2 linked regions of the Struthio camelus genome follow. The protein of the gene in region 1 binds, or shares a complex with, the protein of each later gene. Links are inferred from orthologs where the notes say so. Each region holds a gene or a part of one and is shown on either strand. Other genes may lie near its edges.

The links.
Region 2: MMS19 (region 1) and CIAO1 share a complex: the UniProt entries of both Homo sapiens proteins name them as parts of the MMXD complex. The link is inferred for Struthio camelus from reciprocal best matches to the Homo sapiens genes MMS19 and CIAO1.

What each region holds. Positions count from the first base shown.
Region 1 is NC_090948.1:17,004,171-17,008,066, forward strand, and holds the start of MMS19 (MMS19 nucleotide excision repair protein homolog), read right to left. Parts: upstream 2,941-3,896; 5' UTR 2,908-2,940; coding exon 2,793-2,907; intron 1-2,792. Other genes in the region: UBTD1 (ubiquitin domain-containing protein 1), read left to right, coding at 3,016-3,175. UniProt on the Homo sapiens protein: Key component of the cytosolic iron-sulfur protein assembly (CIA) complex, a multiprotein complex that mediates the incorporation of iron-sulfur cluster into apoproteins specifically involved in DNA metabolism and genomic integrity.
Region 2 is NC_090968.1:1,352,662-1,356,557, reverse strand, and holds CIAO1 (probable cytosolic iron-sulfur protein assembly protein CIAO1), read left to right. Parts: upstream 1-865; 5' UTR 866-927; coding exon 928-1,066; intron 1,067-1,554; coding exon 1,555-1,703; intron 1,704-1,782; coding exon 1,783-1,894; intron 1,895-1,983; coding exon 1,984-2,072; intron 2,073-2,359; coding exon 2,360-2,561; intron 2,562-2,901; coding exon 2,902-2,989; intron 2,990-3,095; coding exon 3,096-3,336; 3' UTR 3,337-3,770; downstream 3,771-3,896. Other genes in the region: TMEM127 (transmembrane protein 127), read right to left, coding at 566-809. UniProt on the Homo sapiens protein: Key component of the cytosolic iron-sulfur protein assembly (CIA) complex, a multiprotein complex that mediates the incorporation of iron-sulfur cluster into extramitochondrial Fe/S proteins.

The sequences.
Region 1 (3,896 bases):
TGTAGCAGCAGTGAAGTCTTCCACTTGCCAAGTTGCAGTTAATTTAGTACTCAGCAACACATGCAAGAAGCTCAACATGTTTTTCCAACAACCGCACGAAGGCCACGAGGTTAGAAAAACCTCCCCTTTTGCTCAAGGAGATGTGATGCAATTTAATATTTTCTGATGTATGATTCTATGAAAGGTCAGAGGGGCCAAAGGACACTCGCTGGCTCACTTGCTTGTCAAGGTAGGTTTATCACAAGCACCATACGGCTGATGAGAGCTGTGGGGGGAGCAGCCTATCTCTTTGTATGCTTTTGAAGAGGCAAAGCTTTCTCAGGGCACTTCTGTAACATGACCATAGATGACAAGAGCAATTGTAAGGTTATCTTCCCCCCCGTCTATCGCAAACATGTTGGAGGCTTTGTGCAACTCTTTTGCAACATCTTGAATGTCATACAGTTTAGTGAATTCCTCCAAATTTCCTTGGCGTCTTCTTCATCATGCATTACATGGACCATTGGGTCATCTGCCAGTTTTGCCAGCTCATCTCTTCACCAAGATACCACTGAACAGTTTACCCCCTTGGGAAGGGTCTGTTAGCTACCCTGCGGTATAATGCAGCCTATGTACTCCTCTGCTCTCTCAAATCCTTTCCAAACACACAGAAGCCACTGCCTAGAAACACGAATGCTCTGCCTTATCCTTAAAAAGCCATGTTCCTGAAGCTGCAAATTCCCTAATGTAACAAAGTCACCAAATTGCTGCTCCAAGCGGAAAGGCAAATTATCCAAGGAAGTCAAATGCCTCAAGCCCAGCCAGGAAAGGAGGAGAAACCACAGAAAGGGCAGCCAGACCCTGAGCCCCAGAACTAGGGGCAGGAGAAGCCAGCACACCAGCTTTCTACCTGGTGAAAGGCAAGGCCAGGGGCTTCCTCCCCGCAGGTGGCCAACCTCCACCTCCCAGGCAGCCGTACCCAGGACCATCCTGCAGCTCCCCCTGCGCCCCGCACCTCCAGTGCCACGGTTCATAGCCTCACACATCCCCACACCACATCCCCCTGCCCGAAAGTGTCACTCTCCACTCCAGGCCAGCCCCCCCTGCACTGCCCCCCTGCAATCCCAGCCCATGCTGTAGGCTAGCCTTCCAAAATCCTGATCAGCCTCACAGATCGCACAACTCTGCATTCACCTCAGCTCTGAACAGCCCTGCATCTGCCCAAAATCCGTGCCCACCTTACTCCTAGAGCTCCCTACTCTTGCTGCTGCCCCACATCTACCCCACAGTCCCTAATCCCTTGCATCCCCTGTCAACACTCATCTCACAGCTGTTTCCCACCCCCAAATTCAGGCCCCCACCCTATTCTTTGACTGGCATCCATCCTGCAGCACTGCCCTGTAGCCCACAGCCCCCGCTGCTCTCTACTGCCATATCCCACGGCACTTTCTTTGCCCAGCACCCCACGGCTCCCTGTATCCCATTCCCCACAGCAGCATCCTGTCCCCACGCCCTGCTCTACCCCATGACCATCCCAATGCCAGATCCTACCCCACAGTCCTGCACCTGTATTTTGCTCTGCTCCATGGCCACGTCCAAAAGCCAGTGTCCTGCCCCGTGGCTACATCCCATGCCCTGCCCTATCCTCCCTGCAGCTCCATGTTCACTTGGCTATGCCGAAACATCCGTTCCCTGTCCCCAAAACGGCCCTGTCCCACCCCACAGCCTTAGGCGCACGCCTCCGTTCCCTGCCCCACAGCTCCATAGGTATGCCACATGATCTGCCCGACTGCCCTGTGCCCTGCCCCAGAGCCACGCTCCATATCCTGTCCCACCACCATGCCCATAACCCTACACCTTGCCCACAGCCTCATGCTTTGCCCCACAACTCACAGCCATGACCTTTCCTGCCCAGCCTCACACCTCCATGCTCTACCCCATATCTCATCAAATAACTATAACTGTGCTCTGCCCCACACACTGCGCCGTATCTTCATACTCTGTCCCATGCTCTACCCCACAGCCCCATGGCCCCACAGCCCACCCCACAGCCCCATGCCCACGGCCACACCCTGCCCCACCGCACAGCCTGCCCCACAGCTCCATGGCCATGCCACTGCCTTGCCCCACAGCCCACCCCACTGCCCCATGGCCACAGCCATGCCCTGCCCCACAGCCTGCCCCACAGCTCCATGGCCATGCCTCTGCCCCTGCCCTGCCCCACAGCCCCATGCCCACGGCCATGCCCTGCCCCACAGCTCCATGGCCATGCCACTGCCCTGCCCCACAGCCCGCCCCACAGCCCCATGGCCATGGCCACGGCCAGGCCCTGCCCCACAGCCTGCCCCACAGCTCCATGGCCATGCCTCTGCCCCTGCCCCTGCCCCACAGCCCCATGCCCACGGCCATGCCCTGCCCCACAGCTCCATGGCCATGCCACTGCCCTGCCCCACAGCCCGCCCCACAGCCCCATGGCCATGGCCACGGCCAGGCCCTGCCCCACAGCCTGTCCCACAGCTCCATGGCCATTCCTCTGCCCCTGCCCTGCCCCACAGCCCCATGCCCACGGCCATGCCCTGCCTCACAGGTCCATGGCCCTGCCATTGCCCTGCCCCACAGCCTGCCCCCCCCAGCTCCATGGCCATGCCTCTGCCGCTGCCCTGCCTCACAGCCCGCCCCACAGCCCCATGAGATACCCGGCCCCACTGCCGTGCCCGGCCCCACCACACCCCCGCCCCACACCCCAGGCCCGGCCCCATCCCACCCTACACGCCCCGCCCCGCCCCGCCCTGCCCCGCTCCGCCGCCCGGTACCTGCCGCCACCTCAGCGGCGCGCGCGTCCTGCTGCCCGGCCACGAAGTCCTGGACGAAGGCGGCGAGCAACCCGGCCCCGGCCCCGGCCCCGGCCCCGGCCCCGGCCGCCGCCATGACACTCCGCGCTGAGGACAGCGAGCCGCCGGCGCGCCCGGCCGCGCGCATGCGCCGCGCCGCGGCCGCCCCCCGCCCTCGCGCGCGTGGGGGAGGGGCCTATAACGCATGCGCGCGGCTGGAGCTCGCCCCCCCCCCCCACCCCGGAGGGCGAACCGTGGGGCCCCAAGGGGGGGGGCCGGCCCCCCTACCCCCACGTACGGCGCGTCGGATGGGACAAAAGCGTCGTGCGAGTGGGCGCGCCCACGTGGGCGGCGCCGCCCGCAAGGTGGTGCCGGTGCCGGTGGCGGTCGGGGGTCCCGGCGCGGGCGGGGCGGGGCGGGGCGGAGCGGGCCGTGCTGGGCCCCAGCTCGGGCCCGGGCGCCGCGGGGGCGGTCACATGCACACCTGGGGAGGGCGGAGCGCGGGGTGTCTCCGGCGGCGGGGCGGCCCCGGCGCTCAGAGCCCGGCGGCGCGGCTGCACGGCGCCGGGCCCCGCGGTCGGGCGCAGCGCGGAGCCGGCCCGGCCCGGCCCCATGCCGAGCGCCCCGCGCCGCCGCCGCCCGCGCCGCCGCCGCCGCCCCTGAGCCCGGCCATGGGCGGCTGCGTGGGGCGGCAGCGCCGGGAGCGGCCCGCCGCCGGCAACCCCCGCAAGCGAGCAGGTGAGCGGGGCCGGCCGTGCGCCCCGGCGGCGCGGGCACCGGGGGGGGGCACCCCCGCGTGGTCCGCGGGCACCGGTTTGGGGTCTAATTTTGTGCGCTCTTGGGGGTGTCCGTGGGCACCGGCGGGGGTCCGGTCCGTGGGCACCCGGGAGTGCCTCGTCCGTGCCTCCCCCCCCCCGCCCCGGGGGACCCGGTGCGGTGCGCGGCCCCGGGATGGGGCGGGCGCCGCCGAGCCCGGCCGTGGGCTCCCCGGCAGCGGCCCGTCCCCGCAGCCCTGCCCGCCCCGCGGGGCTCAGCCGTCGCCCCCCGCTCACGGCACCGGGCGGGCCCGCGGCGGGGACGCCGGCG
Region 2 (3,896 bases), on another chromosome or scaffold:
AGGTTGCAGAAACTCACACCTTGGTGGCACCCGGAAGTCCCGACTGGTCTATCTGCCTCGCTGAGTGGCTTCAACAGCAGGAAATTACAGCCTAGGTCTTCCCTAGAGCTGCCAAACCAACTATTAAGCTCACCGCGAGAGAAAAAGACCCCGCAGGCCCGCTCGAGAAGTCGGAAAAAGCTAAAAGCTTCGGCGCGACGCGGCCCGCTTGGCGATTCACGGCTCCCAAGCCACGAGGCCGGGAGCTCCCTCGACGCCCTCTGTGAAAACGGACCGCTCCCGAAACGCCGCGCGGAGCCGCCGGCCCGGGAAGGGTGGAACAGAGAGGCCGAGGCGCGACGGACGGACGAGGCAGACGGAGGGGCGACAGCGCGGAGAAACCGCCGCGCGGCCCCCGTCTCCTCCGGACGCCGCCGCCCAGCGGAGCGGGCCGCGTCGGGGCGAAGCGGGGCGGCCGAGGCCGCTGAGAAGGGAATTTAAGGGGGGGGGGGTCGAGGGGCCAAGGCCCAGAATTGGGGGGGGTCACCCCAAAAGGCAGGGCCGGGGCTCCTGGCTGCGGCCTCACCTCGCAGCAGCTCGGGGTCGACGTAGCCCAGGACGTCGGCGACGCCGAGCTCCTGGCGGGCGCAGGTGCCGCCGTGGATGCGGAGCCAGGCGGGCTCGGCCAGCGCCGTGCACAGCGCCGTGATGGAGAGGGCGCCGGGCAGCGCCGAGGCCAGGCTCCGCTCGGGCTGCTTGGGCAGGCCGCCGCCCGCCGCGCCCCGCCGCCGCCGCCCGCCGGGCAGCCCCGGCCCGCCGGGGGTGTACATGGCGCCGCTCCCCGCCGCCGCCGCCTCCCCCCCGCTGCCCCTCGCCGGCCGCCGTCGCTTCCGCTTCCGCCCGCGCCTGACGTCACCGCGCGGCGCCGGGAGCGGGAGCGGCGGCGCCATGAAGGAGGCGCTGTCGCTGCTGTGCCGCCGGCCGGCCCACCCCGACTCCCGCTGCTGGTACCTGGCCTGGAGCCCCGGCGGCTCCTTGCTGGCCTCCTGCGGCGGCGACCGCGTCGTCCGCCTCTGGGGCAGGGAAGGTGGGCGGCGGCGCCGGGCGGGAGGGGCGGGGCGGGGCTAGAGGGAGGGGCTGTGATGAAGGGGCGGGGCTAGAGGGAATGTGAGGGTGGGGTAGAGGGACTGTAAGGGGGGCTGAGAGGAAGGGGCGGGGCTAGAGGGACTGGAAAGGAGGGGCTGTGAGGGGGTGTGGCTAGAAGGGCTGCGAGGAGGGGGCGGGGCTAGAGCGGGCTGTGAGGGGTTGCGAGGGAGGGGGCGGGTCTAGAGGGGGCTGCAAGGAGGGGGCGGGGCTAGAGGGGCTGCAAGGAGGGGGCGGGGCTAGAGAGGGCTGCAAGGAGGGGGCGGGGCTAGAGAGGGCTGGGAGGGGCTGCGAGGGAGGGGGCGGGGCTAGAGGGGCTGGGAGGGAGGGGGCGGGGCGAGAAGGGCCGGGAGGGAGGGGCATGCCAGAGGGGGCGGGGCCGGGGGGACCCCAGGCCGGAGGGGGAAGCTAGCGGGCGCCCGGTGCCCGCAGGGCCCGGCTGGGCCTGCCGCGCCGTGCTGGGCGACGGGCACCAGCGCACGGTGCGCAAGGTGGCCTGGTCGCCCTGCGGCACCTACCTGGCCTCGGCCAGCTTCGACGCCACCACCTGCATCTGGAAGAAGCAGCCGGACGGCTTCGAGGTGAGGGCGGCGCGGGCGGGCGGGCGGGCAGGGGGCCGCCGGGCCGGCCGCCGCTCACTCTCCCCTCTTCCTCGGGCAGTGCGTCACCACCTTGGAGGGACACGAGAACGAGGTGAAGTCGGTGGCCTGGGCGCCCTCCGGTAACCTCCTGGCCACGTGCAGCCGCGACAAGAGCGTGTGGGTGTGGGAAGGTGAGAGGCAAGGCCCACGCTCTCCCTCCGCCTCGCGGCCCGGCCCGGCGCCTCGCTCCTTCGCTTTACAGCGAGCTTTCTCCGTGCAGTGGACGAAGAGGAGGAGTACGAGTGCGTGAGCGTCCTCAACTCCCACACGCAGGACGTCAAGCACGTGGTGTGGCACCCAAACCAGGAGGTAAGAGCTTTTCCCCCTCCACCATCTGTTGCTTTTCCGGGGCTGAGGAAATCCCAGAAACTCGCTGCGAACGCGCCCGCGGGGTGGCTGTTTCTGACCAGCTGCGCCAAGCTTGGGAGAAAAAGATGAAGCAGGGACGAAGCGGCCCCGTCTCTGAGCCTTTCCGGCCTGGAGGGACGCCAACGCCCTGCCCGCGAAAGCCGGGCTCTCCCAGGGAGAAAGAGGGCCTCGCGCTGAGCCTTTCCGTGCAGCATCCGTATTTCTTTCTTTTCTCTGCCCTCCCTCAGCTGTTGGCCTCGGCCAGCTACGACGACACGGTGAAGCTCTACCACGAAGAGGAGGACGACTGGGTGTGCTGCGCCACGCTGGAGGGCCACGAATCCACCGTGTGGAGCGTGGCTTTCGACCGGAGCGGCGAGCGCCTGGCTTCCTGCAGCGACGACAAGACGGTGCGCATCTGGCGCCAGTACAAGCCGGGCAACGAGGAAGGTGAGCGCGCCGAGAGCTGCTCTCGCCCCGTCTCGCGCTCGCCGCGGCGAGGTGGTGACAGCTGAGCTGGTTCTAACCTGCAGCGGAAAACGGTTCCCTGCCTGGGGAACCGTTTTCCCTTTATGCAGCATGACAGAGGCGGCTGGAGGTGAAAGACTGGTGCCGTTAATGGATTTGGCACACGGTCCAAGCGTTTACGTTGATGTCAACTTGCATTTCATGAGCTTGCTTATACTGGAGACCCTGCGGTGCCCACAGCACCTGGCAGGGTTGCTCACCGCTGCAATTTGCCCCTTCCCACCTGACAGCGGATTTTAGGTTATTCTCTCTTGCCTCCCAGGGGTGGCCTGCAGCGGTGCTGACCCCACCTGGAAGTGTATTTGCAACCTCTCGGGCTTCCACACAAGGACCATCTACGACGTGGCATGGTGAGTGGGCTGCTGCTGCGCCGGTTCTCCTTTGCGGGGCTGGGTCAAGGGTGCTCTTCCCTCTCCCGATGGCTTTCGGTGACCCGTTGCACTGCCTCTGCTCTAGGTGCCACCTGACCGGAGCGTTGGCGACGGCTTGCGGCGACGACGCCATCCGGGTGTTCGAGGAGAGCTCGCCCACGGCCTCGCAGCAGCCCACTTTCAGCCTCGCCGCTCACGTGCCCCGGGCGCACTCGCAGGACGTCAACTGCGTGGCCTGGAACCCCAAGGAGCCGGGCTTGCTGGCCTCCTGCAGCGACGACGGGGAGATCGCCTTCTGGAAGTACCAGCGGCCCGAAGTTTGCTGAGCCGCTCAACCCCCTGCCCTGAGGCACCACTGCTTGTCCCAGGTACCGCCGCGGCCCCGACCCAGCAGCAGGCGCGTTTCGGCTCTCGAGCCGACGCGAACACCCTCCTCGGCGCAGAGAGCGGGACAGGAGACGATAACCAACCTCCTCGCCCTGCGCTGCTCCGGAAATTGGACTTCTGTCCCCTCACCAAACCGCTCTGAATGAACGCGGCAGACGGTGAATTTTTTGTTGAGTCTCGTGGGTGACTCCAAGCCTGCAAGGCCGTGGGGTCCCACCCAGTGGCACCGGCCTCCCTGATGACGCACGCGATAGCGCAACTCTTCAGAGGCTTTGGGAGATGGTGCAGGCTGTCATGTCCTGCCTCCCTGTGCAGACATGCACGCCCTGTACTCCTGCCCCAAGCTCAATAAACCTGTGCTGGCCTGGTAGAAGACTGTGGCTCTTCCTTTCAGTGCGCGCGCTGTTTCCTTGACACTAGCACGACCCTCGCCGGCACAGACGTCGTGCCTGTTGCTCTCGGGGGTGAGCAGCCTTGCAGAACAGGCCCCAAGTGCTAC